Linked DNA regions of Coturnix japonica. The protein of the gene in region 1 interacts with the protein of each later gene in a biochemical or structural test. Links are inferred from orthologs where the notes say so. Each region holds a gene or a part of one and is shown on either strand. Other genes may lie near its edges. The genes, in order: RFWD3 and RPA1.

Region 1 (16,184 bases):
GACATGGGCATGGGGGGGGTGCAGTGGGACTTGGATGTCTGAGAAGTCTGTTCTAACTTTAGTGATTCTAATGGTAATTAAAGTAGTGTTATAAAGTGATTAGTAAGAGTTTGTTAAAAGATATATCAAAAGTTGTTAGTATAACCACCTCTTGTGGATCTTGTGTACGTTCTCTGGTTATTCTTTGTAGCAAAACACCCTTGTTTGTTCACACAGCGCCTACCTTGAGAAGTTTTGGTGCGCACTTTGGGCTCTCAAATAATGTTGAAGGTCTGCTGTCCCCAAAGCCAAAGCCTTTCAGATTTGTGATTGCCAAAACACGTGGGAGGCAAATGATCAGCAGCAGATTGCAGAACTTAATCTGCTCTCTCCTCCCCCAAATTGTTTGCTTTGATTTGTTTAGTTCATGAAATAATCTAAGCTTTTCTGTGTTGCAAGACTGCCTGCCTGCAAAGGATTGGATGCTCTACAGAGCTCATTTCTATTTGTATTTGTCACTGTTTCTGCAGTGGTTTTGCCATGGAGAATTTCTAAGATATCTTCAAACTTTCCTCCAAGATCCAAAGGCATTTACTGGAAAGTAATAGAACAAGAATTACTGAACTTTCCATGCTCATCCAAAGGTTTACCTAACAGGATTTGCAGTGTGTCTTTGGTGCCAGCTACTGCTGAGCTAAAGGCTTCAGACAAAGAACTCAGGAAGGTGCCAGCTCACATACATGTATCTACTTGAGACAGTCTCTCTGTGCTGTATGTCAAAGGCAAAATGGCAACTTGTCTCTAGTCTGAATGTTGAAGGCTTTTGAGTGCTGCAGCCAGTTTCTGCTGCCATCAGGCCACTAGTGGGGCGCAGGCTTGTGAATGCTCATAGCTTTCTTTTGTTTTTGACAGAAATGGCTCAGGAAGAGATGGAAGTTGATCTCCAACCAGTGGTGAACTACTCCCTAGAGAACCAGGGGACGCTTTCTGCAGAGCCCGCTGCTCACACGGCACTGTCCTCTCAGGTTGCAGCGCTCAGCAGCGGAGGAGGCAGCCCTATCGTTCTTTCTGACGATGAAGTTGTTGTCGTATCGACTGCTGATGCCGCAAGGGAAGCAGCTGCTGATCCTGACCAGCAGGCGAATCCTCCCTCAGCTCTCATCGGACTGCTGAGGCTGCAGGGGGCGTCTGACCAGCACCAGCTGCTGCCTGGGCCTCAGGTTGTGCTGCGTCTGCGAGTACGAAGGGCTCGCAGGCAGCCAAGAGTCGGTGGTTCCCAGAGGACAGTCAGTGCCAGGTAAAGCAGAAGTGAAGCTGTGTTTGAGCTGTGCCCTTACCAGTTCTCATACTGGTTTAAGACTGCCTCGATGCCTGGCTTGTAGAACCTGGCTTGGTCCAGGTGTGTGACTGTGGTCAAATTCCGAGCACCTCAAAAACCTCTTAAGCTCACTAATGACTCTTTGATTTCATCTGATGATGTCTTTGCTTTTTGTTAAATGAACCCGCCCTTCTCAGTTCTTCTGTTGGCAGCGTTGTTGTTGACTGGAGCACGTTACCTTGCTCTGCCAGATTCCTGTTGGTGCTTCCTGCAGCAGATCTGGCTCTCAGCAGTCCCAGCCAGCATTTAGCTCAGTGGAGCTTGCACTCTCTTCTGCGTTTCACCTTTGATTTGAGGACTGCCTAATTAGGTGACAGTTGCTGCAGAAACTTTTGTAAAGAAATGCAAACTGACATTTATCATCTTTTTTCCTCTGTAGATTTTTGTAATCTCCAAGCAAAGTGAAAATTCTGTGTTTAGGGCTGTTAGGGATGAGTTTAAAAGGTGATAAGTGGGCACGCTCCCCAACTAGAAAAAGAATCCTATTTCTGGTTTGTTTGGTTTCTGTCTCATCTTTTGCAAATGCCAGGGGTGAAGTTATAATTAACTGGAGTGCTGGCTTGAAATTCAGTGAGACCGAGATCTCTTCTCCTCCTCGATGATTGCACGTTGCTGTACTGCTTGCCTGTAGATTGCTTGTGAAGGTCACTGTAGTTCTCCAGGCTAGAAGCAGCCTAGCAAAAACTGCTTGGAATGTGAAGGATAATTGAGATGATAGCTGGGTTGATGTGGGAAGAGGGAGGGTGTTGCTTTCCAGGGATAAATGTCTTGTGGACAGGAAAGGGAGAAGGTGGACTAACTAGACACTGTGCAGTCAGTGGATTGAGGCTCTGATACAAGCCTGATGTATCTAAATTAGATATCTAATATTTTCTGGTGGGATGGGAACCAGGTCTGTGTTGTGATTGTAATTACAGTGTAGGAGTTCCGTGGGCTGCCAGTCTGTAGTACTTAAGTCTTTGCTTATTTTCTCTCCAGCCCCACCAATACCCTTTGCCAAAATAAAGTCATGTGTAGTGATGGCATTTTCTTGAGCAGGCAAGATGAAGCTGCGTGAAGATGTTGCTGTGTGATATTGCTGACTGTGTCCATAAAGCGGGCGATTGCATAGTATTGCCTCTTATTAATACAGACCTGCTCTGGTAAAATTTGATACTTTCCTGTTTACCACTAGGGCCTGTGAGATTTTCTTCAAGCAAGCATGGGCAGCATACCAAGCCTTCAGTTTACCTGAAATAACTGTGACCTTTATTTCTTCCTTCTCTGGATGCAGGGCAGCGTTGGACAGTTACTTTCAGATCAGCAGGACACAGGAGCCAGCTACAATACCAGGTTCACATCTGGAGCCCTTGCATACTGTGAGGAGCAGCCAAGAACACAGATCACAAATCACAGAACTGCAATCAAGTGGCTCCGACAGCAGCACTTCTGAGGAGGAGGAAGAGGTGGAGGCTGCAGCACCGCTGCCTCCAGCAGCACAGCAGACACCTGCAGCATCTAGCCCAGGTTTGTGCTTCGTTTGTGCTGTGTGGATATTAGATTTCAGAAACTTATTGTGCTGCTTCAAAACTCAGCAGGGAAATACTCTGGAGCTTCACAACAGCTGGTGCTAAGAGATCATTATGCCCACAGCTGATGGGAGCAGGTTGCTACCACAAGGCTTTCTGGCAAGCGGTTCCTAAGAACAGTAACAGCAGTGAGTGATTGTCACTGTCATCTTAAATCCAATCTTTTTGCTATTTGCAGGCTGCTGCTTATAAATAATCCTGGAAGTGTTCAAAACAACTTGAAAATCTGAGGTTATTACTTAGAACATTTCCTCTGTTACCTGCTGCTGAGGAGGGATTGAAGACATCAGCTCGCATCTCCGTTTGGAGGCCAGCAATGCTTTCACTTTTCAGAGGAGGGTCAGATTCAGGACATTTTACTTTAAGCCAAAGTAGAAAGAAAACAGCAATTTTAATTCCTGTAACTTTCTGAGACGCTTAACTTAGGAGACAGAGGTACAACAGCTTGGTCTTTTTATTTTTCCCTCAGCTTTTTCTTCCTCGATTCAAACTTGGATTCACAGGCTGTCTGCACTTCAGTGACTTGGCTTGTGGTGAACATACATATTTTATAAAGAGTGACAAACAGTGAATTCAGTGTTCAGAGGTTTTTGATAACTAACGAATATAAGAAACATATTTCTCATTTCTCAGTTTCTTAGAGACTCCAGTCTCTAAAGAACATCCTTATGCTTCAGTCTGTTTTTGTTTTGTTTTTCATTAGCCAGCCTATCTTGATGTTTTTTTGGGGTACATCTAAGAGGCCACTTTGATCAGATTAATTCCACTTGCTTTTAGCTCGTCTTACACGTGACAGGCGCTCAAGCTGTTAAGTGCTGCCTAATATTGTGTGAACATATGCTCTCTGTTGGGTTTTCTGGAATCCCCTTGTCTTTTCTTCCTTATGTAAGCTGCTGATTCCTGCTCATCCCAGAGCTTTAGGGACTGAAATTATTATTAGCACAAGGCAGTGTTAGGTGATACTTCTTCACTGCATTGAGAATATCTGCTTCGGGTACTAATTGTGGCTAATAACTCTTTTGTTTGTCAGGAGGCTGAGGGAGATAGTGCTTTCTGCTTCTTTTTAGTATGCTAGGGGTGGTAATCCAAACTGAGCTCTGCTGTGTGCCCATGCTTCAACAGAAGGGCTAACAGGCACACCACAAAGACATATGGTGCAGCAGAACCAATAGTTCAGATAACCATGAGCTGGAAAACTGCTTAAGTCAGGGTGAGTTGGACAGATAGCATATGGTAAATGCCTCCTTGGCACGTGGAATATTTATACTTAGATCCCTTGGCAAAGTAGCTTCTCCATGTTGATATCTGTCTTTCTCTGAGCACAATGGTGCAGGTCTGTAACCTTACTTTAGCCTAACTGTTGATCTGTATGTAGCTGTATTTATTCCTAGCAAGCCCTCATAACAATATCTGTCTTCTAAAGCTCTCCTTTGTCACAGAATGTGCTGGAATTCTGGATATTTCTATAAAAGATAGGAGAAAGTTCTTCAGTACTACAGTTGTTGAACAGAAGGGCTTACATGTCAACTGCCCAACCCAAGGATGTTGATCTGTGGTTCAGTGTGTAACCTGTGCCATTGTTATACTGCTTATATCAATACTGTGATCATTATGGATCAAATCAAGGAGAACCCCTCTTCTCCCATAGGTATCAGTTTATTTAAACAATGCTTTCTTTAGTTTCCAGTCAGGATCAAGCAGAGCTGCCTCAAATGCTGCCTCAAGCTCCCGCAGAACATGGAAATCGTGAAGATGAAGAACTTGAAGCCCAGCAAAAGCAGGTGAGGTGACCTAAATGCTTTTGGAGGCAGATTACATGTGGTAAAAAATGCATTTGCTTACAGAGGGTGTTTTTTAAACCTTAGAGAACTCCACTGAAGAAACAGGAGCCACCAATTCCTGCTGCAGCACTGGAGGAGGAGGAGGGGGACACCTGTGCCATCTGTTTTGAGCCATGGACCAATGCTGGGGATCACCGTCTGTCAGCCCTGCGGTGTGGGCACCTCTTTGGTTACACTTGCATTGACAGGTGGCTCAAGGGGCAGGCAGGGAAGTGCCCCCAGGTAAAGTGGGCATTTCTGTGCACTGGGAAGGACTTGCTCTTGGGTGACTTGTGCTGCAGGCATGGTCACCATAACTGTTACATTTATTTGCTCTACAAAGATGCCACCTATGCCTGCTGTCAGAAATAACAAAAATCACAATTATTTTGATGCATCTGGTGCAGGCACAGCTAGCAGTGCTTGAAGGGAAAGATTCTGTCGTGGATTTTCTTCCCTGAAGTAGAGTGTTTGTGACTAGCTGGCTCAGAAGCCTGCTAGTTTGAACTCAACCTGTAATTGGTTTCAGAGCACCGCACTGTTCCTGGAGTGTGGGAATGGCAGACAGATTCCTAGAAGCAATTAAGCGTAAAGAATGCACCATTGGACTAGAAATCTGTCTGAGAACCATTTTCAGTAGGTTTAACTGCCATTTTTGAACTGCATTTGCTTTTGCAGCCTAAAGATCAGGCTGTTCAGGTAGGTTTCAGAAAGTGAGCTGAGAAACAAGCCACGTCCTTTACTTGCAGTTGCAATTGGTAGATCTGCTTCTAAAGGTGCTTCTTTCTGCTGTTCTTTCCATGTGTTTTTTGTTTCCATACTGGTCTCCTTTTGAGTAGGTCTATGATGACAAAAAAATATGTCAGTGAGTACCACGTAGATGGGAGTTCAGCTGTCCTGCTTTCCAAGGCAGTATCTGGAAGATCAGTATTTCTTTGGCTTTCTCATTTTGTGAGTTTTAATGGTCTTGCTTGACTCTGTATAGGATTCCCTCCTAGCACAAGAAGCTTCCTGTTGCTGTGCACTCAGGTTAAGCCTAAAGACCCACTGTTAGCACAGTAAAGGCCCAGACCTAACGTGTCTCATCTATTACAAGTGTGTGTAAGCTTTTTGTCTGCTCTGTGCCCAGGCAAAACTCTGAGACCTCTTTTGCTCTTTGGCACTTTGCTTTCTTCATGAACCTTAACAGGGCTAAGGGTACTTCTTCCTGATTTAATGTGGTTTTTTTTTGTTTGTTTTTCATATCATTACTGAAAATTTCCTGTGAGAAGTCCCTGTTCTGGAGACAACCTTGTAGCTACATCATCTGCCTTCATTTTCATTCGCTGTCCTTTGCGGCTGAGTGTTCTCTAAATGAATAGCACCAAGTTGCTGTGTGTGCTGCTCTGTATACTAAGTGGCTTGAGTGCAGTTACTGTGAAATTGCAGCATTCCAGATCCTGTTGGTGACAGCTGTTGGCTGCCAGAAAAGCTGCCTTTGCCACTCGCTGCTCTGCAAAGCAGTTTTCTGAGGTGTGGGGGGAGTTGTCTGGTCTGAAACTGTCACCCTTGGTTTCTTCATGCTGCTAAATAATAGAGAAGTCTGCAGTTTAAGCACACATAACAATTTAGCTCTCCGTTGAGTTTACTTATTTCAGTGCTCTCTGCCTCTTTTCCTATCAGCCAGGTATGTTTGCAGCACAGGAGGATTTCAGATGCTGTAATTTCTTACAGGTCCCAACGCAGGGAGGTGCTGTTCCTTTTTTCTCAAGTATGAACTGGTCATGGCAAGGTGCACAAAGTGATTGAAGCATCTGACTCTGCTTGTATCACTGAAATCAGCAGAATGCCAGTGTTTGACACTGTTACAGGAATGCTCGCGTGGATTTGGGCCTGCAGGGTTTGATCAAAGGAGTAGGAAATGTAAATCAATGTTGGGAGGAAGTTTGAGTGCCCAGGTTCTGCTCTTGAAGCAGCCAATCTTGATGCTTTCCAAGGTTTGGCTGTTATTCTGCTTTAGGTCGTTTCTCCTCCTTTCTGTGGGTTTTCTGACCGTGCTGCTGTTCTGGTGCTTCAGCAGAATAAATGTAGAGGAAAACAGGCAGATAGAATCTATTGCACCTTCAGTAATGCAAGGTCTGATCTGCCACTGCAGACCCCCAGCAGTGCCTGTAGGATGGGGTGTCTTACAAACACACTGTGACATTAAACAGACAGTGCTTCCCTTCAGAACTCTTAAGGAATATTCAGAATAGTAACCTAGCAATTTGTAGGGATGCATAGCCCAATTAGTGGTGTTCTTGTAACAAACTGATGGTGTCTTTTTCTTTCAGTGCAATAAGAAAGCAAAACGTTCTGACATCGTGGTCCTGTATGCTCGGACTCTGAAGGCACTGGATACCAGTGAGCAGGAACGCATGAAGAGGTACGGAGTGTTCCTGACATGTCAGGGAAAGCAGCAGCCTGGCTTTTACTTTATTCTTTAATTTCCTGTATTACCTAAGCCATTTTGTGCATTCCCTTGGGGGTTATCGTGAGTGTGGCTGTTGTAGATCTTGCTGTGTTATCTGTGCCTTCCTTGTAAGGAGAAGTTTCTTTTGGAACGGGAACACTGAGTTTGCACTTTGTGGCACTCGGGTTGCAAAAGGTATCTTGTGCTGGATCATGAAATGTTGTGGCAGGAGAACATGTAGGCTTGTTGCCAAAAGCTGTATGTTGCTAATTCATCATTAGATGAGAAAAGCAAGGCATAATTAGGAATGCAAGGAGGGTGAGTAACTGACCTTTTCTGTCATCTTTTCTGCATGCATTAAGCAGAGTAATCTCTCCTATGAATCACTTTCCATCTTGCTTTGTCAAACTCTTCATGTAGCTTTACTTTCAAAGGTCAGCAAGCATTGCTGTGATTCTACCCCCTCTTCCAACTTCAGTGTAGACTTTTGTCCTCTGAGAAAAGGAATAGTAGGAAATGGGCATGAATTTTTTTTTTGCTGTCACAGATACTATTTTGAAATTGCAATGCTGCAGACTTCTGAGTTCCCCTGAATCTTGTAGTAAATAGAATTTAATTGGGTCTGCTGTGGCATGTTGCTGAGCATAAAGCTGGTCTTCAACACTTTTTTAACAGAAACCTCCCCATCCTAGTAATTATTAATTAGAGATGTTTGAGGAATAACTATCACAAGGGGAAGATAATCACTGCTGCTTAATGTTGTTTGAACTGTGCCTTTAGACTGCACAGATACAGCAAAACAAAGCACAGTAAAACTTGTTTTCACATCCTCAGAAGGCTTTTGAGTGCTTAAATCTTGTTGTTCCTTAGGTAGAGGTGACTAACTGCTGCATGTGTCTCAGGTTCCTACAGCAGCTCTTCCCACTTGCTATCCCATCTGTCCCCTGGCTGCTGTTGGTTGGGAGGCAGACAGCAATGACTGCCTGTCAGTCTCACTCACTCACTGGCAGTGGATACTTGTGGTACGTAGCCACCAGCAAAGTACAAATGTGGACACTGATACATTCATATTGTTTGCACATAGCCTTGAGTTGGGTGTGAGCTTATGTTTTTGACCCTTGCATTCAGAAGAGCTACCCTGCTGATTCTGGATGCTTGTCTGCAATGGTTCAGTGCAGAGCTTCATCTGTTTCTTATGCAACCAAGGAATAGCACGGTGAAACTACACAGAAATGACAGAACTCTGTGCTTGATAAATGTGCAAGGCTAGGTCTGTGTATTTTAAAGGTGCTTAGGCCAGCTAGATCTCCTGCTTGGGAACTGCTGAAATAACCAGAGAACTGCAGCTTTTGGAACACAGGATGCAGCGTCAACATAGACCCAACATGCAGATATTTTTAAGGAGTGATGGTGTTTCTTTCCCGCTTTCAACTATTCCTTCATATGTAAAGTACTTATGAAAGCAAAATTTAAGCATGTTTTCAAAACAGCTGCTGCTAAATTGTTTATATGCACTTTTAGGCTCAAGATGAGGTGGTAAGTTGAATTTTTATACGGGCCTATTAGGGCCACTCGTTATCCAAAGGATTGTGTTTGGACTCCAGAGGGAGAGGAAAAAGGCACTTATTTCTGTGTAACAATAATTGAGTCATGCTGTACCACTAAGGTGAACATACTGGCTGACTATAGCACCAGGTACCCTGTTCTTTCTGAATTTACCCAAGTGGGACCTGTGTTGGAACAAAGTCCAGGGACAGCAGTCAGCAGAGGAGCATCCCAGAAATACCCAGCCCTAATGTTTGCTTTTTTTTCTGTCTCTCTCTCTCATCCAGCTCTTTAGAAAAGGAGCAGAAGTTGCGGAGGCAGGCGGAGCTGGAATCTGCACAGAGCCGGCTGCAGCTGCAGGTTCTGACAGATGAATGCAGCAAACTGCGTAAGCAAGTCCAGGTGAGTCTGACTCTCCTGATGCACAGAGGACTCCCTTTTTCCCCAGCCTGTCTCTTGCTTGCTTTCCTTACAAGGCCTCCAGATCTAGTAGGATTTAGGGAACTCAACTGGTCAATCATTCTCAATATCCAAGGCTAGTGTAGTTATGCACACTACTTAGTGCTGACTTCATTTTTGTTTTGAAGACTTAAAGTCACAAGTGCAGTGTAACAGGAGGTGTTCTTGGCTGCTGGTGTTGCAGGTTGCTCCTCAGAGCTTGTGGTGGCTGCTGGCAAGGTCTGGTAACACAGTGCTGAATTTGCCCCCCTCGTTTTTCTCTAACTGCACCAAAATAAGCATTGAACATCTGTGATATAATGGAAGGTTTTTGGTAAATAGTTGGTGAGGAAAGCATGCTTGTGGCCATTCACAAACATAAAAACAAAGCAAAGCAACCAAACCTTAAATGCATTTCAAAGGTCAATGAAGATTTGAGCTAAGCACTTCCTGCACCGTGAGCCTGTCATTGGAGTCAGCTGGGATTCTACAGCTGCTGAGAAGCACCCCTGTCCCTTCAGAATACACTGAAAAGAAACGACTGGTTGCTAAACAGCAACTTTCTTCCTGGCTTGTGCAACATGTAGCATTTTGTAACCTGCTACAGCTGCTTCCACCGGATTTCTGTGAAGCTGAAGCTGTTTGCCTTGCTGGAAGTTTCTGCTGTGAGTTACCTGATGTGTTGCATCAGCACTGGGTTTTGCAGCCGGTTTGCTGTGTTTTTGTTGCATGAAGTAGGTCATAACTTGCCTAATCTCTCACTGTCTAGTATCTTGCTCAGCTTTAAGCTTTTCTCTACTTCCGGGTCTTTCAGAGCCTTGGCTATTTATGTCTGTACATTAAGCAACATCCTTTTTTGCCAAAGTTTTTCCAAGTGATGTAACACAGGGCTTTATAGATTGCTTCCTAAATTCCTTTGTGAGGCTGTATGCTCGTCGGGGTGTGTGAGAGAACTGGTCTGGTCTGCTATAAACTTTGTCTTAAGAACAACAGAAATAAGATAAAAGTGCAGGTCCATAACATACATCTTCCTGCAATTCTTTAGGTGTTAGATGATAGAGTATCCAGTCTAACTGAGTTGAAGTCGCGCGTTATAAAGATTAAGTACCCTGTGTCCTTAAGCTCCATTTCAGTATTTATACTGCATTCATCACTGTCCTGCCTCACTTGATGTGAATGCTAGAAGCAATTTGAAGGTACTTGTTTGTACTGTGAATGAACTGGAAGTAAAAAACAATTTGCTGGGGAGCCATATATCAGCAGGAAGCATAGAATAAGCTGCTAAACTGTTGGGTTATATGCATAACTAATTCCTTATGCTATGGGAGGTCAGCTAGTAAAGCAACTACTTAGATTCACTTAAATAGGAAGGGACCCACAGAGGCTTCCAGCCCCAACCGTAGCTGGGTAAGTTCAGTGTTGGATTGGGTTTCTTGGGCCATCAGTGTATCAGCTGATGGAAGCAGACTACGAAACCTCTCTGGACAATGCACTCATAAACTGTTCTCACTGAGAACTGACCTTGTTGCTTCTGACATTTGCTGCCCTTGTCCTTTCAGCGAGTAGTATGGTTGAGTGTACAAGAAAATGTGTTTAATTGATGTACAAAGGTGGAAGCCACCACAGAAAGCACTGCTTTGGGATTACAAATCTGTGAAATACCCAGACATTCAGAGGGACTTTCAAAGTGGAAAAGTCCAGTTGCACATGACTTCATTGGAAGAGTTGTGCCCACTAATTACGCAGACTTAAGTCTTAGAGAAAGCATAAAAGCATATGCCATCAGTTCCCCCCGTAGCCCTTGTATGTACCCTTCTTTGTTGTTAGTGTGCATGAGAACTACACACTGTGTCATATTGCTTATGACCCTTTTTCGTGTTTGTATGCTTTTCTTACACAAAGATGAGCTTGCTTCAGCTTTCTTATGGTAGTGTGTATTAAAAATGCTGTGTTTCCAGGCTCCTTGGCTCAGGTTTGATGCCTCTAGTGCTGCACTGCGGTTATAGGGTCATGCATTTATCTCTGTTAAGTGCAAATCTTAGGCCACGTAGAGCAAGATAGTGGGCATGACTTCTCTAAGAGGTCTGTGGGAGCACAGCCAAAGAGTGGCTGTCATCTGATAACTGCTTTTGTCTTTAAAGCTTTGTATCAGCTATTACAACCCTTAATCTAATACTTGGAAGAAAACTGGCTTGAATCTGTTGTAGCTGGTTTTCCTTTCTTATTCGTTGTTCTCTCCTATTTCAGCTTTTCATGCATATTCCTCTAGAAGATTTTTGCTGGATATCCTCTTCTGGAACAGGTTGCTCAGTGAGGTTGTGGATGCCCCTCCCTGGAAGCACTGGAGGCCAGGCTGGATGGGGCTGTGAGCAACCTGGTCCAGAGGAAGATGTCCCTGCCTATAGCAGGGGGGTTGGAACGAGATGATCTTAAAGGTCCCTTCCAACCCAAACCATTCTATGATTCTTTCTCTAACTGTTACTTTGTCATAGCAGGAGCCAGGTAGACTGCACAGCCATCAGCTTTTCCTACTGAAAGTGTCCTTCTTGGGCACAGTTAGTGGGGTTTGTTCTTTGGTGCAGTGTTTGTAGTTGCCTTGGTAATGTCCCCAGTTCCTGCTTCTGCTGGGTTCATCCTTTGGCTGTAAATGCAGACATCGTTCTGATGGTCTTTGTGTTTTTAATTGCCTGCCTTTCTTTTTAATGAAGATCTTGCATAAAATTGAAACGTTGAGTGCAGGTGGAAAGAAGAGTTTTATAAATTCCCCAGAGCAACAAATATTTTTAATCTCCTTCTCAGTGGGGGTGGCATCTTTCTGCCTTTCAGAAATAGGGCTTATTAAATTTTTGATGAAAAACTGCTCTCTTCTATGTTACCTGTGTACATACTGACTGCTTACTCTAAGCCTGGAGCTATAGTTTCTGATTGTCAGCATCCTGGCACCCCTTACATCCCCCGTCCTCTCCAGATCTTTGTCTTTGCTCATCTTGAGTCTTCAGGCTCCATTTTTTAATGTCACAGGGAATTTGGAATGCAGAATTGGTTTGATGCAGAACCAATCAGACCTCTGGAAGACACCAGAGCTGCTCTCCTCTGGAGCAGTCCCCAAAAGCTATAGGGCTTGGTGACAGCTGTTAATGTAGAGCTTGATATTTGGTCTTGCCTCTTTGAGAACTCTTGCCTATGCTCGTACATAAGTTAGGTGATATTGGCTGGCTCGGTATCGAGGCTAGCTTGCAATTTACTAATATATTCGTAATATCTCTTGTGGCCCTTAATTGCTTAAAAATGATGCAGTATTTGAAGCATAACCCAAGTTGCTCAGACAACAGAAAGCAACTTTCTTAACATGTCTATCCTCTCTCTAATATCAATGGAGTGCTGCTTTGCCTGGTTTTGCCCTTGGATCACAGTGAGTTGTTCCCAGAATGTGTTGTGATCATTTACAAGTGATGCAAATGTAGCAGTGCCACTCCTCACATCCCCCCCTCCCCAAGTCCCCCCGTCCCCCCCCCGATGCTCTCTGTGGGAAGAGGAGTTGGGGAATATCTTGTTTGTGGCTGGTGCTGTGATGGAAGGTGTCCTTGGTGAGGGCTTTGCATCCTTGAGCATCAGTTGAGGTGAAAGGAGGCGGGGATGAAGCAGAAAACAAGGCAGGAGCTCTTGAGAGTTGTCATTCCTGGAATTCGCTGCCTGGGATTTACAGGAACAGGGCTGTCTTCATTAAATAGAGGGTGTTGCAGGAAACAAGTCAGTCAATGTTGAACCTGAAGGTTTTTTTGGGGTTTTCTTTGTTGTTGTTGTTGTTTTTTGTTGGTTTTTTTTTTTTTTTCCTTTATGGGATATTCTGGAAATTCTGGAAAATGGTTCTAATTGACTGTCTCTTGTGGCTGAGCTGCATGTAGTACTTGGCAGTTAATTCTCCTCTAAACAGCATTGATCTGGTAATAATTGTCATTGGCTTTTCTGTGTTGTCCCAGAGCCCTCTCTTCTGATACGTATAATAACAGACTGAGTAGATTCAACCAGAGCCTGCAGAACCTTTCAATGCTTCTGTTGCTCTTGCAGTCAGTGAACAGGGAAATGCAGTGTTTCAGAGTATGGGGACAGAGCAGTCCGTATTCTTTCTCCTTCTCTGAGAATGGGAACACCTGAAGTACATGGATCAGGTAGCACAGGGTGCCGCATCTCCAGCAGAGCATTAAAACTCTCTGAGCTCTCTTTCCTTTGCAGGAGCTGAAGGCTCTGATGGCTCAGCACAATGGCAGTGCTTCTAAACAACCCGGCAGCTCCCGCACCTGCTTCCCAGGTGGCCTCCCCTCCAGCCAGAGCCAGCGCAAGTACCACTTGGAGAAGGTTTTTGTGGTGTCTCAGGCTGGGAACTGCAGAGTGATGGCCTACTGTGACTCGCTGAGCTGTCTCGTGGTATCGCAGCCTTCTCCACAGTCCACTTTTATTCCTGGTAAATGAGCAGTTGAGATCTGGGGGTTTGTAGGCGATACTGGTTTACAGAAGTTAAATGTTTTACTTGCTCCCTGTGCCCTCTCTATCTGGCTTTACCTTTGTATGTGCCATATAAATGGGGAGCACTCACAAGTCTACCTCTGGTCTGTGCTCCTGCTTTGGTGACCTCTGCCCAGAGGGATGACTTATCTCCCCCCCTGCTTCTGCAGTGGGATCCTAACAGGGGATCCCTGTCTCAAGTACCACATCCTCAGGAAGGTCCAAAGAATAAGAGGTCAGCACACAAGGACAGGCAGAGTCGCTCCTGTTCCATGAGCAAGAAATGTTCCTTCTGTCATAGGTGGATTGGGCCGCATGCTGTCAACTAACTCCTTTTTAAAAAGAAAACAGACTTTTAGTATGAAAGGTAGGAGCACTGTCTCCCAGTGTGGGAACAATAGGCCAAGAAGCCTGGGCAGTGCTGTTTCTGTCTGCTTGTTATGGCTGGGGCAAGTGAACTGACACCTGGCTTTGTTCCAGCTTCCTGTCCTGGTGAGATAGATGGAGTGTTATGAGTCTGAGAGCCTTTATTTGCAAAGCACTTTTGTGCTTTCTGAATGGTGAAGCTTGTTTTAATCTCCAAACCATTAACCAAATAATGTGCCTTATCTCAACATAAGGAAATTCCATTCACTGTATTCAATTTGCCTTATTCTCTGGAGCCTTGGAGTGAATCTCTCAATGGAGGCTTTGTGGCATGCAGGTGCAGTTCACCTGTAGGCATTTTACGCTGTGACACTTGTTCTTTTAAATTGCCAAGTAATCCTAGTGTGCATATTTAGGAGGAACTGTCTAAAAAGCAGCAGCTCGTGTAATGAGAACTGTAACTAACACTGGGATTGCTCTTGCTGGCTTGAATACTTTGAGATTTTACACTGTTGCTGATTGAATTTAATAATGATTTGTGTCAGTTCTCACTGAGAACAGCAAATAAATTGGATGTGTTCACCCCACCACAGCTTTTAATTTGGAGATGGTAGATGGGACATAGAATTGCTAGTTCCAGGTTCCTCAGCAGTTGCTGGTAGGCATCCTGCCTCACACACAGGCTGCTTTGCAATAACCTGCCTTATCCTTCTCGTTAGGGTGTGGTGTGAAGATGATGAGCGTGGCCAACCTGAAGAGCAGTCAGTACATCCCCATCCACAGCAAACAGATCCGGGGGCTGGCTTTTGGCAGTCGTGCAGATGGTTTGCTGCTGTCTGCTGCTCTGGACAACACTCTCAAACTCACCAGGTGAGCCTTGCTGGGGGAGGCAGCATTTCCCAGCTTGAGCATTAATTCTGTGCAAGAGACTGGACTGGATTTTGTATTTGTCTTGTAGCTCTTGCTCTTCTGTGCTTGATTTTCTGCTCCTGCAGTGAAATGTGGAGCAGGGGAGCTTGTATAGCATGAAGCAGAAGCTGTGTTTAGGTTGAGCACTTTGTTCTCTGTGCTGTTGTTGGCCTCTCTGACTTAAATCTTGTGGATTGTGAAGTTCATCTGGGATATGAAGTGTGTGCACAGCATTGTTGAGCGTGTGCTGGAAAAGCACAGATTATCTGGAGCTAGCAGTGACTGAAAACAGCAGGTTGAAGACAGTTATGCAGAGGGTGAGATGTGTTTCTCCATCCCTGGTGGAATTTTCAGCATATGAGTTTGCGTTTTCTTGCTATTCTGTGCTGCCCTTCAAGCTTAAGCTAATTCAGAACTTTATCGGCCACTTTGTCTTATTGAGTTGCAGCAATGTGTCTGTCAGTATGGTCTTATGCAGAATATGTCATGATTAAGTAGTCCCCATTCTCTCCCACATGGGAGACAATGAAGAGAACGTAATTCCGTAACAAACATGTGAAGAGTTCTTGCTTTTCCACTGGTGGTACTGTGTTTAAATAGTCAAACAAGTGTTTCAAAATTGGTATCAGAGGTGGACAGTTCTGTTTAAATCAGTGTGCCAGGCTTATAACCGCTGAGGTTGGTGTCGTGGCTTTCCTGCAGAGCAGCCTCTTGTTGCAGGAGCTGCTTAAGCTTGATTTCCACATCTGCCTCTCTCTGCCTGATGGATTGCAGTGGAACTTGTGAATGTCATCAGAGCTTCTGCATTTGTGTTTGATTCCAGGGTGCTGGGGTGCAGTGGTTGCTTCAGCAGCATCTTTGTAGAAAGAAGAGTCTCCCCCTTGGTCACCTTCCCAGTTACTGATCTCCTAGTCATCCTAGAAAAGGAATTATCCAAGATGTTAAGTCCCCCCCATTCATGTTTACAAGTGTTTAAAATAGCACAAAGGCTTTGTTTTCTTTGTCCTTGCTTTTAACTGGTCTCTGTTCTGATACAAAACGCCCTGACAATTCTCTCTAGCCAGGTCTTTGTGGTTGTTCCCTGGGAGCAATTACTTCTGTGGACTTCTGCACTTAATTGCCTTCCTCCTAGTGAACCCCATGAGTTGTAAAGGGGTTATTTTGTTGTGTTTTCTTCTGTCTCACTAGAGTGTACCAAGCCTATATTGGTAATGCCACCCTTGGCATAGGGTAGGTTCTATAACAAT
Region 2 (16,184 bases), on another chromosome or scaffold:
GACAATAGCTTGAACAGGAAAATGTCCAAGTGGGTCTTGAGTATCTCCAGATGAGGCTACTGCACCAGCTCCCTGGGTATCCTGTCCCATTACTCTGGCACCCTCACAGTTCTTTTGCATGGTTTTTATGGAACTTCCTGTGTTCCTGTCCAGTTTTTGCCTGTTGTCCCTTGTCCTGTTGCCGCACACCACTACAGAGCCTGGCCCCATCCAGATAGCTCCCACACCTTCAATATATATGAACACTGATTAGAACGGTCATTAGAAGTTTGGGGAATAAATACAACATAATTTATGTTCAGGGTTGCAACTTATTAGCTGTTACACTGTTTTCTATGTGCTAATTTAACTGAGCCAGTTGTAGATCTAATGTAGTGCTTGTGAACTGGGAAGGAGGCCAGATGTGGCAGCCGCTTTAATACGAACATGTGTTAATGTCTTGAATGTTCTTCTGTCCCTGTAGCATTCATGCTGGCGACACAGCTGAACCCCCTTGTGGAAGAGGAACGCTTATCAGCACACAGTATTTGCCAGGTTAACAGATTCATTGTCAACAGCTTGAAAGATGGAAGGTACATGCACTTCTTTGAGTATGGTTCTACACAAAGGCAGCTGTGCTAGTGGATGCTCTGTCCTGTGGGACTAAGTGAAGGCCAAATCTTTTTGATTAGGCATTTCTGGAAGTAATAAGTGAAGGAAGGAAAGCACACAGTGTAAGCAATTGCAGAAAGTCACTCAGTAATTGAAGGCCTCCAGGTGGAATACTCTAAATTGTTCTGCTTCATTTCTATTCACTTAAAAGTACCTGCTGTGGAAAAGAAGCAGGGAAGGTTGTGTTGTGTGAAATCTTTGATCTTTTGTGGGACTTTGAGAGAAGTGAGGGACGTAAAGCAAGAAGTGATCTGAGAGAAATGATGTTTGTGTGGGAGAACACGATCTGAACTTCTGCATCTGTTTCCTTGTTTTTGTGTAGGAAATACAACTTCTTTTTGAGGCAGAGTGGATTCTCTTAAGAAATTTGGCATGGTTTTAATGCTTTTAAAACGCTATTGTTTCAAGGCATTTCTGTGTGCCTGTTCAGCCTGCTGTCAGTGTCCTTGGTGAAATGTGATACTTTTTCAAGTCTACTTGTACAACATGAGAAGGTTAAGTTGATAGTGCAGAGCTTTTGTTTTCCACGTTCCCTTGTACAAAGAATCAGCCCCTAGTGGCTGGTTCTCATATCTGCACGAGAAGGATTCTCGGAGCCTGATAGACTTATAGAGGGAGCGTGTCTTTATTACTGTCTATATTGTGTTTGTAGGAGAGTGGTTATACTGATGGATTTAGATGTTCTGAAAACTGCTGATATGGTTGGTGGGACTGTTGGCAATCCAGTGCCGTACAACGAAGGTGAGTATCCTCTATAAACAGAAACCTCTTGTGTGCAGGCTGCCTGTTATCACACTCTTTCAGCTATCTGTTTCTTTCTTCTCATTTAAAAAGAAGCAGTCAAGCATGTGCAACTCCCTTATGCTTGGAACAGAAATGTCCTCATCTTGAAAATCCTTACTGTCTGTGTGACACAAAGTAGGGTTTGTTCATATTTTCATAAGCTCAGCATCTTGGCTGAAGCTTCCATCACTGAGGGGTATTGAGAAGTGTCTGTGCTTTGTGTTAGCATTGACAGGTTTGTATTATGTGTTAGTGGTCTTTATGTAGAGATCCAGCGAGTGCGTGAAAGCTGTTCTGTATCTCTTTAGAGTGAGTAACCAAGGAAGGTAGGATTTCTTCTATCTGGAAAGAAAATGTAGGGAGGAAGATGTAATAATGATCTATAAAACTGTGAGATGGCACAGAGGGGATGAGTAAAGAATGATGAATCTTTCTTTTCTAAATCCATCTGATACTCTTTTAGTTCTCATATGATCAACTAACAGCTCTAAAACAAAGGCTGTACTGCACCTCTCAGACAGCACATAGCTGAATTATAGAACATGTTGCTACGTGAGGTAGGTGCCAAAAACTGGCGCAGGTTCAAACAGCAATTACGTGCCAAAAAAATAATAATAACCCATTAAAGGCCATTAAATGTAACAATGCATCCTCAGCATGAATGGAAGCACTGAAACTGAAATTGCCCAAAGTAGATAGGTGACTTATGGTTATGGAAACATGGCCAGCATGCAGGCTGTCCTGAGCACCTGTTCCTGCCATCTGAAAAATGTTGATGTGCTGGATGGCCCTTGGGCTGACCTGTTGTGAATTATTAGTTTGATGTTGTGTGAATAACTGCATTCTTCTATTTCATGCGCTAAATGAGTTCTCAGGCAAATGTTTTTTGATTTTTTTTTTTCCAAGATAATGTATTTTTTTTTCCCCTGAGATGTTCAGATCTACGTTCCCTTCTTGGAGTTTTTTTATTTTTCCTGACAAGAGAGAGGATAATAAAATGCTTAAAGAAAATATTTGAGCTTCTCCACTGTGTGCACACGTACAGATAATGGCTGAAATTCAACAGCAAATAGCTTTTATTTTTTTCAGGGATTATTTTTTTATGCTTGTCTTTCTCCTGGTGGAAATGAATCAATTTGCTTTTACTGTTAAGGAACCACATGGTAGTGACAGCAATTTCTGTAAGATATTTTGGACAAATGGTGGTACATAACTGCAATTCTGGTTTAAGATCTACTTTCCTAACTGAAGTAGAAATTAGACTTTGTTGCCAAGACATCTTTCTTCATCAACTTTCCTTTTTTCCTGGGGAATTAGAGATGCATTTGTTAAATGAGCCTAAAGAATCCTTTGTTCCTCTGGTAGTTACTTAGCTAATTGCTGTTTAAAAAATGTGTTGACATCTGAGATTTTATGGCTTAATCTCACAGTTGCTGTAGAGACCAGGATTTTTGGAGCACCTATTGAGCAGACTGTATTGTCTTTCTCTTGTATCACTTGCCTGTGCAATACAGGAGCACGTTTCTTGTGAACTATGGTGTTCTTGTCATATTGTTGCTTAGAAACAACAGAGTATCTTCTGTCTTATAGAACTGAGCCAAAAATGCTTCCTTAAAGAGTATAAATTCTGGTAAAATTGAAGTTATTTTGGGGCAAGTTCTGTTCTTCACTTTGACATACAAGAGTACTCAACAATGAAGGCCTCAAATATAGATGGTTAAGAGGTGCCAAATTGGCTGCAGGATATATTTCACTTTAACACCAACACAATCATACAGAATTCATACAGTGGCGGTGTTAGGCTTCATTTGGTTTTAACATTAGATAATGTTTCAGTTACAGAAGTCTTACTTTAAATACTGATCTCAAGTCTTTCCTACCCCAGAAGGACCCAGGCAGTGAGGAGATTGCTTTTGGCCACTTTGCTGTTGAGCAGTAGGTGGTTAATCTGCCTAACAAGGAAGCTGGAGATGCAATCTTCTTGATACATACCATAAAAACTTCTCAGGCAGCTTTTCATTATAGTATTGAAAATTAAGATTGAGCAGTTTAGTTCTTTGTACAAAGCTACACGGTAATGTTATTACTGTCATTAATCTCATTGAAATTGCTCTGATGTTGGACTTCATTCTTACTGTAACAATTACTTGCTACTTATGTTTAATTTCTGTCATTAATCTTTCAGTGTAGAAATGCTTGTATACTTATACATTTGCTTTTCTTCCTGCTCTTTACACCATTGCTTTTTGGTGTGTGTTCTTTCAAAGTGCATCTCCCCCTTCTTCCTCCATTTGTGATGCAGCTCAGCCCTGGGACAGAGACATAGCAAGGCCCCTCCATAACACTGTTGGGCCTACAGCTACTTCATTAGACAGGGCTGTGTAGCCAAAAGTCTTGGGTTCTATGAAGCCAATACATACAGCAGGAACGTGGTGAGGTATTTTAAGTGTTGGGTTTCCTTCACGTGCACATTGCTGTTCTTGCAACTTCTTTCCCTTTCCAGACATATTTACTCTTAAGTGTTGTCCTCTTTCTCTCGCAATGAATGTGGGGCTGAGCACTGATTCAGTCCTCTGAGTAAGTGAGGCAGCTGAAGGAGGGGGAACTCTGGTTTCTCCATCTAGTGGATTCTGCAGTAAGTGCACGTTTCTGTTTGACGTCATGCTGTTGCTAGGCAGACTCCTGTCACTGCTGCAATGACAGGAGCAGGGTGGTTTTGTGCCAATACCTTGGTCTGGATTAAAAGTAACCAGAAGGCTACCTGTGTGGAGTAAGCAGCATCAGGCTGTGCTTCTTCAGAGCAGTAGTGTTCTTCTGTGCTCATTCTTTCTTGCCATTCTGTTCTGGGATTCTCTGCTTTGTTCCTTGTGATATTTATGGGTTCAATTTCCCTACTTTTCCACTTTCCACACTGCCAGAATAGGGGGACTTTGCCTGCCCTGGCTTAGGATGTCCTTCAAATTGGTGGCTGAAGTGTTAGCTGTGTCCTAATAGACAAAGTTGTTGGGTATTTAATGATCTGGAAGCAAAATATGTTGGAAAAATAGTTGTTTCTAAATTAACTCAGTTTTCAACCTCTGGATTATTTTGTAGTGTAATGTTTTTCTACGTATGTCACACTGTACTTGTGATTTATCAACAGATAGAATCCAAGTCAAAGCCCTGTAGCCTAAAAAATACACAAGACGTACTCACTGTGGCATGCTCTGTATGCAGTATGCTGTTGTATCCCAAGAACCTCCACACCACCACCCCATCATTTCTTCATATTTTGGAAATAAAACGTAGCAAGTGTTTTCTATAACTGCAGGTTTGACTTTACCCAGAGGTTTTTTGGTCCTTTCTGAATTTCAAGGAGATCACTCTGTGGGATTTTTGTGTGTGTGTGTTTTTTTTTTTTTTAAGGGCTTGCTGTAAGATAGTAGCAGAAACTACCTGTCAGAGCAATAGAAGCCTGTAAAAACTGAGAAGTTGTCAGGGTTACTTCAGTGCTGTCCTTTTAAATAACTGTCAGCGCTGAATTCTTCTTAAGTAGAAAGCAGTTGCTTGGGGAAAGGATCTGACTGAAAGTCCTCTGTGTTAATATTGTTTAACAGATAGCTTACTGCTGCTGTGCCCTGTAACACCTGACTTTTAGCATGTTTAAAATCCTGTTTTCATGCAAACCTAATTTCCTGAAAAAGGCTGAAGGGTAGTTTTTAATTACTCTGCTCCCTACTGTCCTAAATGGTCTCTTTCAATTTGATTACCAGGGCAGGGACAGCAACGTTCTTCAGCTCCAGCAGCCAACACAGCACCCAACAAACCACAGCAACAGAATGGCAGTTTGTCAGTAGCAGGTATGAATAATCCTGGGTGAGATTTCAGCTTTCTGTTTGTGCTCAACAAAACATTAAAAAACAAACAAAAACCCCCTTTCCATAATAGTGTTGCAGAAGAAACTACATCAGACAAACCTGTAGCTTGAAGAGATGAGTTGTCTCAAGAGAGGCTACTGTCATTTGAATCTTAAAAATAAATTCTGCCTCATTTTCCTCCCCCTTATCCAAGTAAAACAAATAGGAAACAGCTCTGACAAAGCAGCATGAACTGAACATCTACTCTGATGCAATTCTGCACTCTTGAAAAGGTGCTCTGTGGGCACACGAGTCAGCTACAATTTGTAGCAGGCCAAAAGTTGTGTTGTCAGTGCTGAGCTATTGAGGCCAAACAGCTTATGTGGTGCAGGCTGTGTTTTGATCAAGATTTTAAATAGCAAGATGCTGAAAAAGGCAAGCAACATGTAGGCTTATTTTTAAAGCTATAAGGTTATCGAAGTCCAACCCTTGGTGCTGCTCTCTCCGTGGCGTTTAAGAATTATTTTGGTATTTTGAAATAGCAAAAATTTGACACTTGCTATTTTATCATCAGCTTTAAGGACAGGAAGGAAAAAGGTTCTACATTTATACATTAACAAGGTTCTGTTTAGAATGAGTAGTATTGCCTTGCATCAGGAGGAGTTTTGGTTGTGGGGTGCCATTCCTTATTGTTTGTCCAAGTGTAGATCCAAAATGTGCCATGTTTAAGACAATTTGCTGCCAAGTTGTTGTTTGCCACCTAGACTGACTCTGACCACATCTCCACCACCACCGTATGTGCTTTTAAGGTCTGAGTGAGTCTTGCTTGCAGCCTAATAAATTGATGTGACCAAGAGTAGGAGTGATTCAACAAACTTTTCTATTGTAGCACACTGAATGAGTTGATCTTAACCTGCATTTTGTCTGCTTGGCTGAAATGCTGTGTGCTTTGTTGTGTTTGTTTTATTTTCTCTTTTTGGAAGGTTCTGCTGCTCCGAAGTACCACGCTCCCTCAAACCAGTTTAATAAAGCAAGCGCTCCCAGCTCAGTGAAGACACCAGGGGGAACACAGTCCAAAGTAGTGCCCATTGCCAGCTTGAATCCATACCAATCTAAGTGAGTTGTAATGGTTTGCCAGGTATTTCTGGCTTTATCATGTATACAGGAATGTATGAATCTCTTAAATCATTCTTTATTACGTTTGGTCTTTATCTGTTAATGTAGAGGAGAGGTACAGAGGAACAGGGCAACAAAACCATAAAACCTACAGAAACAGCTGCTCAAGTTTTGGTCTTTTTGTTTCATCAACACTCTGAAAGTCTGAGATTTTTGGTGAAGTTACCCTGCTGAGCTTGATAGCTTTTTAATATTTTAGTTGAGAAGCTGTTTGACTCACCTTTTTTCCCTGAAGTGATCTTCTTTTTTGGTAAGGTAATGACAAAACATCTCAGGTAAGCTGTTCACTTTGGCTACTGTTTTGTTGAAAAGCTTGAGGATGTAATTACGTTGTGAATGACAGTTTTTTTAAGTTATGCAAACTGATTTGATTACCTAAGTTTAAATGCAAATCATATAATTGGGCTCTTGAGTTCTAGCATGGATCTTCAGAACAGGCAAGCTGTTGTATGAGAAATCTACCCTAAAAGAGTGAAAGATCTGAGGCGTGCTGCTCTGCAGAAAGATTGTTGGCTGCTGTGTCCTATTGGATGTTTTATGTTTGGCTTTGTTGTTGCTTTCTATATAACTTGCTGCCTTTAATGGTCGAGGACATTAAAATAGCAGCAGAAAGGCAGGTAGAATTGCTGAGGTGCAGTGGAAAAGTTGTGGCTTTTTAAATAGTGTCATTTCAGTTCCAAAGGTAAATTCAATCTCTTCTAAAAATAAAATAGGAAAAAAAACCCACCAAACATATATAAATAAAAGAGGACATTGAACAGCTCTTATTTCTTGCACAATTTCAGGTGGACCATTTGTGCTCGTGTTACCCAAAAAGGGCAGATCCGCACGTGGAGCAACTCCCGCGGTGAAGGGAAGCTCTTCTCTATAGAGCTGGTTGATGAGAGTGTAAGTGTTCTGTGTTGAGAAAAAGATAACATATACCAGACGCTGATGAACCCTTCATAAAGGCAGAATAGGAGAAATAAAGTGTGTTATAGAAAATGTGTTTTTTTTATTATTATGACTGAGGTTCATATTCTGTATTCATTAACTCGAACATCAGTGATCCAGTCCTTATCCAGAATGAAGTCTTAAATGTATGGCGTTGCTGATTATTTTTCATCAAAGTCTATAGCGTGTGACTCAATTTTTGCAGCTTCAAAATATGGTTGTTTAGGGAAACAGACAACCTTATACTTTGTTTGTCATCATTTCCTTTTGATTGGGAATGAGCTCTCATCCTTACTTAGATACACGGTACAAAACAAGGAGTGAAAGGAGCGTCGCCTCCAAGTTATAAGCTTTCATTTTCACGAGGAAATCAGGCTATAAATTATTGTAATACTCGGAGATTTCATCTGCGCTTTGTTTGGGGAATGGTATCTGGTTAATCCAACTAAACTTGCAGTTTGTCAAACCTCTTATCAAATTACAGCCTTCCGTCCTGAAAACAAACAAGATTCTGCAAGATTATATTTAGTATAAAATGTGAGGTTAATAATGTAACGTGTTGTCATCAGCCATTTGTTTTCTCCGCGTACTTTTAGTAGTCAAATGTAAAAACAACAAAAAAAATTAGGGGATTTATAGTTTTTATTAATTATCACTTAAAGATTTGGCATTGTTTATGAGCAGGACTTAGCTCGAGATACTCTGTGCTAACTTGTGGAGCTAGGTGATCTATTCAAACTTTTCTATCCTGTAACGTCAATTAATGCTAGTTTCAACAGTACTTGTTCAGTGCTGGCTGTGTGATAGTAATTCTGGACCTCTAGGGATGCTAATGAGACTTGAATCTGAGAATTGATGGTCAGGTGTGGAATATGTCATTCTAGCTATAACTGTAAATGTAAGGAGAGCGTTGTCTGTTTCTCAGGTTTCTGGAGCTAGCCTGGCAGCCCACGCTGTCTGTAGAACTGATGCTACTTAACACAGTTAAGGATTTCTTAATATAATTTATTTACTTATGCTGAATTTCAGTTCTGACCGCCTCTCCTGTTTTCCTGCAGGGCGAGATTAGAGCTACTGCATTCAATGATCAAGCAGACAAGTTCTTTCCTCTGATTGAACTCAACAAGGTATGGTGGTGTCGTGCTATCATGGTCTGACATGAGCTAGAAAAGAGGCACTTTAGCATGGCAAGGATTTTTAAAGGTGATCACAATCTATTTTCTCTGTCTGACTTCTGATAATATCCACTGTTTCATTGCTTTCTCCTCTAGGTATATTATTTTACCAAAGGCAATTTGAAGACTGCTAACAAGCAATATTCAGCTGTTAAGAATGATTATGAGATTACATTCACTAATGAAACTTCGGTTGTGCCCTGTGATGATGCCCAGCATCTTCCATCTGTTCAGTTTGATTTTGTATCCATCTCTGACTTGGAGAACACACCGAAAGACTCCATTGTCGGTCAGTATGAGTAGTGAAATGAGATGCTATAAGACTTCGAAACTTTTAGTATTGTGAATAGTGGGGAGGCAGTGAGCAATAGAAGGCAATCTTCTGGGCTGACTTAGCCTGTGGTGGTTGCTGTTAAAATTGCCTAAGGCATTTTTATGGTTAAGGTGTCTTTATCCTGTTCTGCGAACAGTTTATACTGATTTCTCTGCAGAATTGTGCTTCAAGCTAAAGACAGTAAACGTTACTTGTTTATTGTCTTATGATCATTGTTTTCCATGGAAAAGTGTTGAAAGCAAAGTGTCCTTGCTCAGCACGTGTGTGTTTCATACCTTCCATGGTCTTGCTTGCTTTCACTATCTAATTATCTCGGTAGTGATTTTTGGCATACTGCGTTGCATCCGAGTCCAAGTTGCATGACTGTTTTGGCTTGCTTTGTGAAGTATTGGAGGTTTGTTTTTCTGTAATTTGTTGGGCAGAGTCCTCCGGAAAAAATCAGGCTTGGGTGGGGGCGAGGGAGCTCAGGTTTCACAGGCACAAGATGCGTGTGATTCAGAGGCATTCAGCTAGGAATTTTAAAGGTAGACCCATGATGTTCAAAATAGGTTTTTATTAGGGAGCACAAAGGGCATTGCATTTGCTCTTGCTGCCAAAACATGCCAGCTTCACAGGAAATACAACGTGGTTTGGATTGGGAGGGACCTCTGGAGGTCATTTAGTTCAACCTTCAAAACTTGAAGAAGTTGCAGCTTCTGGTCTGGGGGGCTGCGGCAAGGGCACTAGCCAGGTGCTTCTTCGTGTTAGTCATTTTGGAGCCCTGTGCCTGAGAGCCTTCTGCTTAACCAGCAAGGGTATGTTTAAGCACAGCAAGAATCGGGGCTGAAGTCCTTTGGCAGAGTGTGATGGAATAAGAGATTGTGATGCCTTGATCTCTTTCTTGTGGTGAGGCTTGCATTCATGAATATCTTAATGAATTCGTCAACAAAATTAAAACACTGAAGAATTCTGTAGTGGAGCATTCCTGCCATAATACACTTAATTTCCATATCAGATTTGATTTGAATAGGGAGCTGGGATATTACAAGGTAAAAATCTGACACTAGGAATGATTTCTTCTCTTGTGGTGTTGTATTCCCCAACTGTGACCCTTGAGCAGTTCTAACTAAATTGTAACTCTTTTGCAGATGTAATTGGAATTTGTAAGAGCTATGAAGATGTCACTAAAATTGTAGTGAAAGCCAGCAATAGGGAGGTATCGAAGAGGAATGTGCATCTGATGGATACATCAGGGAAACTGGTGACAGCTACGCTATGGGGAAATGAGGTATGTGCTCTCTTACCTGTTCTTAAGCAAAGGTTTCTTTGTGTAGGGTGAAGAAACACACGCTCTTGTCATCTAAGATGGGCATAGTACTGAGACAGTCCTAGGTGTTGGAGGATCAGGGGTAGAGAGAAGGTGAAAGACTGTCTGGTTTCATTCAGGTGTGATGTTCATAACCTTTTTCTGACAGACTGCTGACATGATCTGACTAATGTGTTCTGAATAACTGCAGACATGATGTCTCAGGCACAAAGACTGTAGATAACAGGTATTTGGTTTAGAAAAGGGTATGAGTTGTGGTTTGATCATGGAAAAGCCCGATGGCTACAGATGTCTTGTTTGTGAGGAGCTTTATTCTTACGGTAGGATACTTGTTATCTGAATAAACTGCTGCTAAACTAGGGGGTTTGAAAGGCTGTATCTCAGACTAAGAGTTTAAAATGTCAGAGCTTTGGGAATGGAAAGTTTGTGTAGTTACTGTGAACTGCTCCTTTGTCTTGATAACAAACTGCTTTGTTTTCCAAGGTGTAGATACTTAGAGATTTATGTTCTGGTCTATAAAATGGGAGTCATCCTGCCAGCCTGGCAGTGGTGCCTCATGGCTAAATGATTGAGTGCCCTGATGTAGGTGGCTGAACATTGTTAACCATCTGCTGATATAAATGAAGTAAACTGAGGTTCGGTATCATGAAGTTATGAGGTTGAACGAGTTTGTTATTGGAGAGCTTACTAGTTATGAACATCTTGTGTAACTCTTGGATCAGGGGTCTGTAATTTAGAAAGTTAAATGTTTGCTTTGTTGTAGAGTAAAAGTAACATAAGTATTGAGGGGAAGTGACTTATGGCTTGTGGCTGGCACACCTAGCATTAGAGTCCATATCTCCCCAATAACTCATTGCCTTATCTGTCAAGGTGTGTGTTCTTTTTGTATCTCATGGATACAGCAAGTGCTTTTGCTAACTCCAGCTCATTTGTGGTCCATAAGCACATGATCCTTTCCTTGCTTGTTAAGTGGTGTGGTGTCCAGGAAATCTATACCTTTCATAACCTCTCTAGTGCTGAGAGATTATTTGTTAGTGTCAGACTTCAGTTGGATAACAAACTGATAGCAACTGAACAGCATTAAATCAGCTTTATGAGATTAAAAACAGAAAACGGAAAGCTGAGGAAAGTGTTTGGTCAGCATACCTATGCTTAAGCTGTAGGTGAGGAGACACGATTGTCTCAGTCAAGTCAAGTGATGTCCCATCGAGACTAATTTGATCAAATAACCCATGTTTGGAGAAACCTTCATTCCCGTAGCCCATCTCCCATTCTAAAATCCTTGTTTAAAACTCCTGATGGAGATGATTACACCCTTTTCTCCAAGCTGGTGGTGCGCAGCTGCTGCACTGATAGAGGGATTCTCCCCTTCCTCAAGAAATGGAGTGTTGGGATTATAAAGCTGTTAGCTGCATTTCCTGAACTCCCAGTGCTGCTGTCTAAAACCGTACCTCCCAAGTGCGGTAAGATGGCCTGACTTGGGTTTGGTCTGTTGCCATGATCTGTGAACTATGACTGCAAGTATACTGTAGCATACTTACTAATGCTTTCTGTTGTTTGGTTTTTGTTTTTTGTTTTGTTTTCCACACATGCAGGCTGAGAAGTTTGATGGTTCCAGACAACCCGTGATAGCCATCAAAGGAGCCCGAGTCTCTGATTTTGGTGGTAGAAGCCTGTCTGTTCTGTCATCAAGTACAGTGGTTGTCAACCCTGATAGCCCAGAGGCTTTCAAGCTCCGGGGATGGTATGACTGTGTGCTTGTGTTGACTCATTTCTCCTGCTGTGGAGTATTTGTTTTATTCTATATACTTACATTTGAGCAGTCTATAGAGCAGTGAAGAAAAGGAGCATAGGCTATGGGTTCCAGGCTTATAGAAACTTCTCTTTCTTGGAAGAGAAGTTCAATCTGAAAACCTCTAATTCCATGACAGATGCTGGAAGAAATAAGATAGGAGTATAGCTCATGCTGACCCAAAGTCTTGGAAGACTACAAGAAATCTGTTTTTTGACCAACTCTATTTTCTGATTAACAGAGAGGACGGAGTTTTGTTGCTTCCTCTGTTAATATGAATTGCGGGAACTATGTTGACTTCTTAGTGCCTATCCCTTAACAGATATTTTCAATTAACAAAATGACACTTTTATTTTTATCAGGAAAACCAAGTGACTTCTTAGTGCTTCACTGCTGCTTCTAGCGTAGGTAGTTGCTAAATTATCTGCTGTAGCTACTAAGACAGTGAGATTTGGTGTGTGTGCTAATGGGGTAAAGTCCCTACTGCATCACTTATTGTGAATCCTGGGCTCACATTCTGCCCAAATCCTTTAAACGTGCATAAAATATTTGTCGGCGTTCTCCATTATTCAGATTGAGCAGAGCTGCTTCTATACTTCAGAGGGTTGTTGAAGATGAAATTGATTGTGGGTCTTAGCTAGTGCTGTCACATTTTAATTACATTCCGTTTTTGAGTTCTGTTGGTGTTTCTCACATCACAAAAGACGCTGAATGGGATGATAGTACAACCTTTTTCAGAAAAGGAGTGCTTTCTTATTTTAACACAGGAGGCATAATTTGTTCAATGCTATTTGCTTTTCCTTTTGAAGCTGCTGCAATGATAATGGTAGCGTGTAATTTAATTTTAATTATGGAAATATCTTGATGCCCTTAAATCTTGTTATCTGACTGCCTTTAAGAAGCATGCAGTGCGTGGTTTGACCACTAGCTGGCAAACAAATTGCAGTTATATAGAACAAAGCTGCCCTCCTTTTGTGGGTTTATAAAATACTATGCTAATTAAGTCAGAGTATTAACTTATTCTGAAATGCTATTTTTGTTTGCAGTATACACAAATTACTGTAATTGTTTCCTTTGCAATCATTGATTTTTAAGGAAAGAAAAAAAAAATCCTTCGTGTATTAAGTACATGAAACTAAACGTAAGCTTATGATAAGGTGGACTGCCATCCAAAAATAGCAATGCATCTTTGTGGTTCCAGGTTTGACTCTGAGGGACAGCTTCTGGAATGTGCCTCCATCTCTGATGTGAGAGGTGGGTCAGCGTCAGGGGTAGCTACCAACTGGAAAACCTTGTTTGAAGCCAAATCAGAGAGGTTGGGACAAGGAGATAAGGTAAGGCATGGCAGCTGACTGCAAGCCTTGTGTGTTTGAGGGGGGCGGGAAGGAAACCTTGGTGTTCTGCTTATTGGGAGAGTCCAGTTGTTGGGCTGTGTGCTTATTCTGTAAACAAGAAAAACCAAACAAACCAATGCACTGAATCCAAGTCCTTTGCTGATGTTGCAACATGATCCTATGTGTACGAGAGATTTCTAAGTCTTGGATAAATAGTGCCAAATAGACCACCCCAAAGATGCTAATATAAATAACACAAAGTGTTGTAGGGCAAACAGGTGCGTTTCTAGGAAGGGTTTTCAAGGCAGCCTTGCTCAATAGAAAATCTAGACCCAGGTCTGCAGTTTTCTAGCCTGGTAGCCTTCTTAGGCTTGAAATGCTTCTTGACTTGTTCCAATACGTTTTTAAAAGCATATAATTGTGGTTTTTTTCCAAAATGTTAGCACTAAGCCATTCAGGATAGAGAAAAACTTTGATCTAGATAAAGAACTTCCACAGGAAACAGCTGAATTACCAGTGCCTTTCTTGCATGTGGTTCTTAACCCCTGTTCATCTGCTGAAAGACTTGACTGTGGTCTTAAACCATTAGGGTGATGATTTTAGTGTGGTGAGTGGGTATTTTGTTCTGTGGGCTATAGTTTAATCAAACACTTATCTGTAATACTACACAGTAGGCTTTCTGGTTTTTGTACTGACTCCTAAAAGAAGCATAGGAAAGTGCAGAATCTTAATCTTGTGAAAAAAGCAGAGATTTGAACAGACACAATGGAGAAACAAATGTGCTTTATCTGAAGAAAACCTAGCAATCGGAGTTCCCTGCAATGGAAACACAGAATAATCTTGCTCTAGGGGCTTTATTTAACATAATGGAAGCCTGGAAATGATTGCGACAGGGGTTGATTTACAGTTTTCCAATAATCCATAGCTGTTAAGCTTTCTAATCCTAAATATCCAAGTATGGACGCCTTGCTTTGTAGTTAATTCAGAATTGGAAAACACTGAGTATTTTGAGGCTAATGTTGCACACTCACTCTCCTAGGCGGATTATTTTAGCTGTGTGGGCACAATAGTACATCTGCGGAAAGAGAACTGCATGTACCAGGCCTGTCCCTCTCAGGATTGCAATAAGAAAGTGATAGACCAACAGAATGGACTGTATCGTTGCGAGAAGTGCGATCGTGAATTCCCCAACTTCAAGTACCGCTTGATGCTGCTGGTAAGTGAGCTGATGAGGGCAGGCAGGGCTTCTCCCTGCTCTCCCTGGGCAGTGCAGATAGAAGTCTTTTGATGGAACAGGGTGTTAGGCTGCTGTGTTCTCCAGAGGTGCCTGTGGGTTAGAGGGTATTGAGGTGACTCGTGTCTGTACCTGGGTGAGGAATGTTTCATTGAGCTGATAAGCAGTTTGTTTTCCTAGCTCTCCAATTAAAAGCTTTTCTCTTTGCCAAAAAGTTGATGCTAGCTCAGTTGATTCTGGTTTCCAAGTGTACTATGCAGTGCAGAGTACAGATGGCCTACGCCTCTTCAGTAGTGAAGATAAACTGAAGTAAAATGGCATTTCTGGAGAGCAGTAATTGCACTTTTACAGCTGCTACCTATATTTAGTACATTTTCTTTTGTAGGTATTGTTCTGTCTCAAGCTTTAATGGAGCTTGCTTCGAAAGGCAGTGAGGATTATTATTGTGATGCCTGCTTACCCCATAAGCATTGAACCTTCTTCTGTTTTTACACTGTACATTTGTGTTGTATCTGCTTCTTAGAAATGCTGTGCCAGGTGGGCATGCAGAGAGAACTATCCCTGCAGTCTCACTAAAACACAAACTGCTTCTGAATAATTTCTAGCAGATAACTTCTAGGAATACACAAACTACTTAATGTAGCAGAGTCACTCTCCTAGAATATAAAAGGGATACTGAGGTTACAATCAAGGCCTTCGGAACAGTTTGTCTCCTATTTTTGCATTCCTAATTGTCAAAGCAGCCTCACAGATGAGGCTGGTACTTGATCTGTTTATTGCTCTGTCTTGTCCTTGAACGTTTTGATAGTTGTCTCGTAACGTAGCATCACATGTATTTATGCCCGAGTTCTAAATAAATGCAGGTCTCAATCTTGCTGGTGTCACCCTTGGTTGTTACTGTTCTGGGCTACCTGTTCATACTCATAGCTCATCAATGATAGAGGAAAAGGAGCTGAATGTCTATCGGTGCTTATTGCAGTGATCTTGTTGGCCTCTTCTTGTGACACAACATGCTGACAATATTAACGTGCTTTAAACAACTCTGACATTCTGTTGAGCTCTTTTGAAAAGCAAAATAATAAGTAATTGTCTTCCACCCTCAGTGATGGGAAGTGCACAGGGTTCTTGAGCTGTGAAACAAATACTACTTTTATCTGTTGCTCATAGAAGTCAGTGCAACTGGATGGAATTTCTTGTTCCTTGTTTTTATTATTGTTGTATTTTTTAGGTGACCATTGCAGACTCTCTAGATTACCAGTGGGTGACTTGTTTCCAGGAGTCAGCAGAATTCATTCTTGGGCAAAGCGCTACTTTCCTGGGAGAGCTGAAGGAAAAGGTCAGTCATTTACCTTATTACATTCGTAGTAAATGCTGAGAAGTGGGTCTGTGTTTTACACACCTTGCTGTTGAACAGACCTCTGAGATCCTCCTGGTAAGGAACTATTCCTGTGGTGTTGAACCAGAGCACAATTTGGGCAAGATGCAGTTTGCTTGTGGAGAACCAGTGCTAATGCAGCTGGGAGCACGGTCTCATCCCTGTGTGCATACCTGCTGTACTCGTAACCCAGTCCAAGGGCATTGGGTTGTGTTCATGTTGCTGTAGTAGAAATCACTAGCATTATTAAAACAA

The links.
Region 2: the proteins of RFWD3 (region 1) and RPA1 form a complex in vitro, tested with the Homo sapiens proteins (3 studies listed by BioGRID, with this or other methods). The link is inferred for Coturnix japonica from reciprocal best matches to the Homo sapiens genes RFWD3 and RPA1.

What each region holds. Positions count from the first base shown.
Region 1 is NC_029526.1:773,364-789,547, forward strand, and holds part of RFWD3 (E3 ubiquitin-protein ligase RFWD3), read left to right. Parts: intron 1-891; coding exon 892-1,276; intron 1,277-2,630; coding exon 2,631-2,863; intron 2,864-4,605; coding exon 4,606-4,706; intron 4,707-4,790; coding exon 4,791-4,988; intron 4,989-7,057; coding exon 7,058-7,149; intron 7,150-9,008; coding exon 9,009-9,123; intron 9,124-13,392; coding exon 13,393-13,621; intron 13,622-14,747; coding exon 14,748-14,898; intron 14,899-16,184. UniProt on the Homo sapiens protein: E3 ubiquitin-protein ligase required for the repair of DNA interstrand cross-links (ICL) in response to DNA damage. Plays a key role in RPA-mediated DNA damage signaling and repair.
Region 2 is NC_029534.1:4,216,253-4,232,436, forward strand, and holds part of RPA1 (replication protein A 70 kDa DNA-binding subunit), read left to right. Parts: intron 1-463; coding exon 464-572; intron 573-1,303; coding exon 1,304-1,392; intron 1,393-5,186; coding exon 5,187-5,273; intron 5,274-6,253; coding exon 6,254-6,386; intron 6,387-7,231; coding exon 7,232-7,334; intron 7,335-8,437; coding exon 8,438-8,506; intron 8,507-8,650; coding exon 8,651-8,843; intron 8,844-10,015; coding exon 10,016-10,155; intron 10,156-11,789; coding exon 11,790-11,938; intron 11,939-13,187; coding exon 13,188-13,320; intron 13,321-14,359; coding exon 14,360-14,536; intron 14,537-15,782; coding exon 15,783-15,890; intron 15,891-16,184. UniProt on the Homo sapiens protein: As part of the heterotrimeric replication protein A complex (RPA/RP-A), binds and stabilizes single-stranded DNA intermediates that form during DNA replication or upon DNA stress.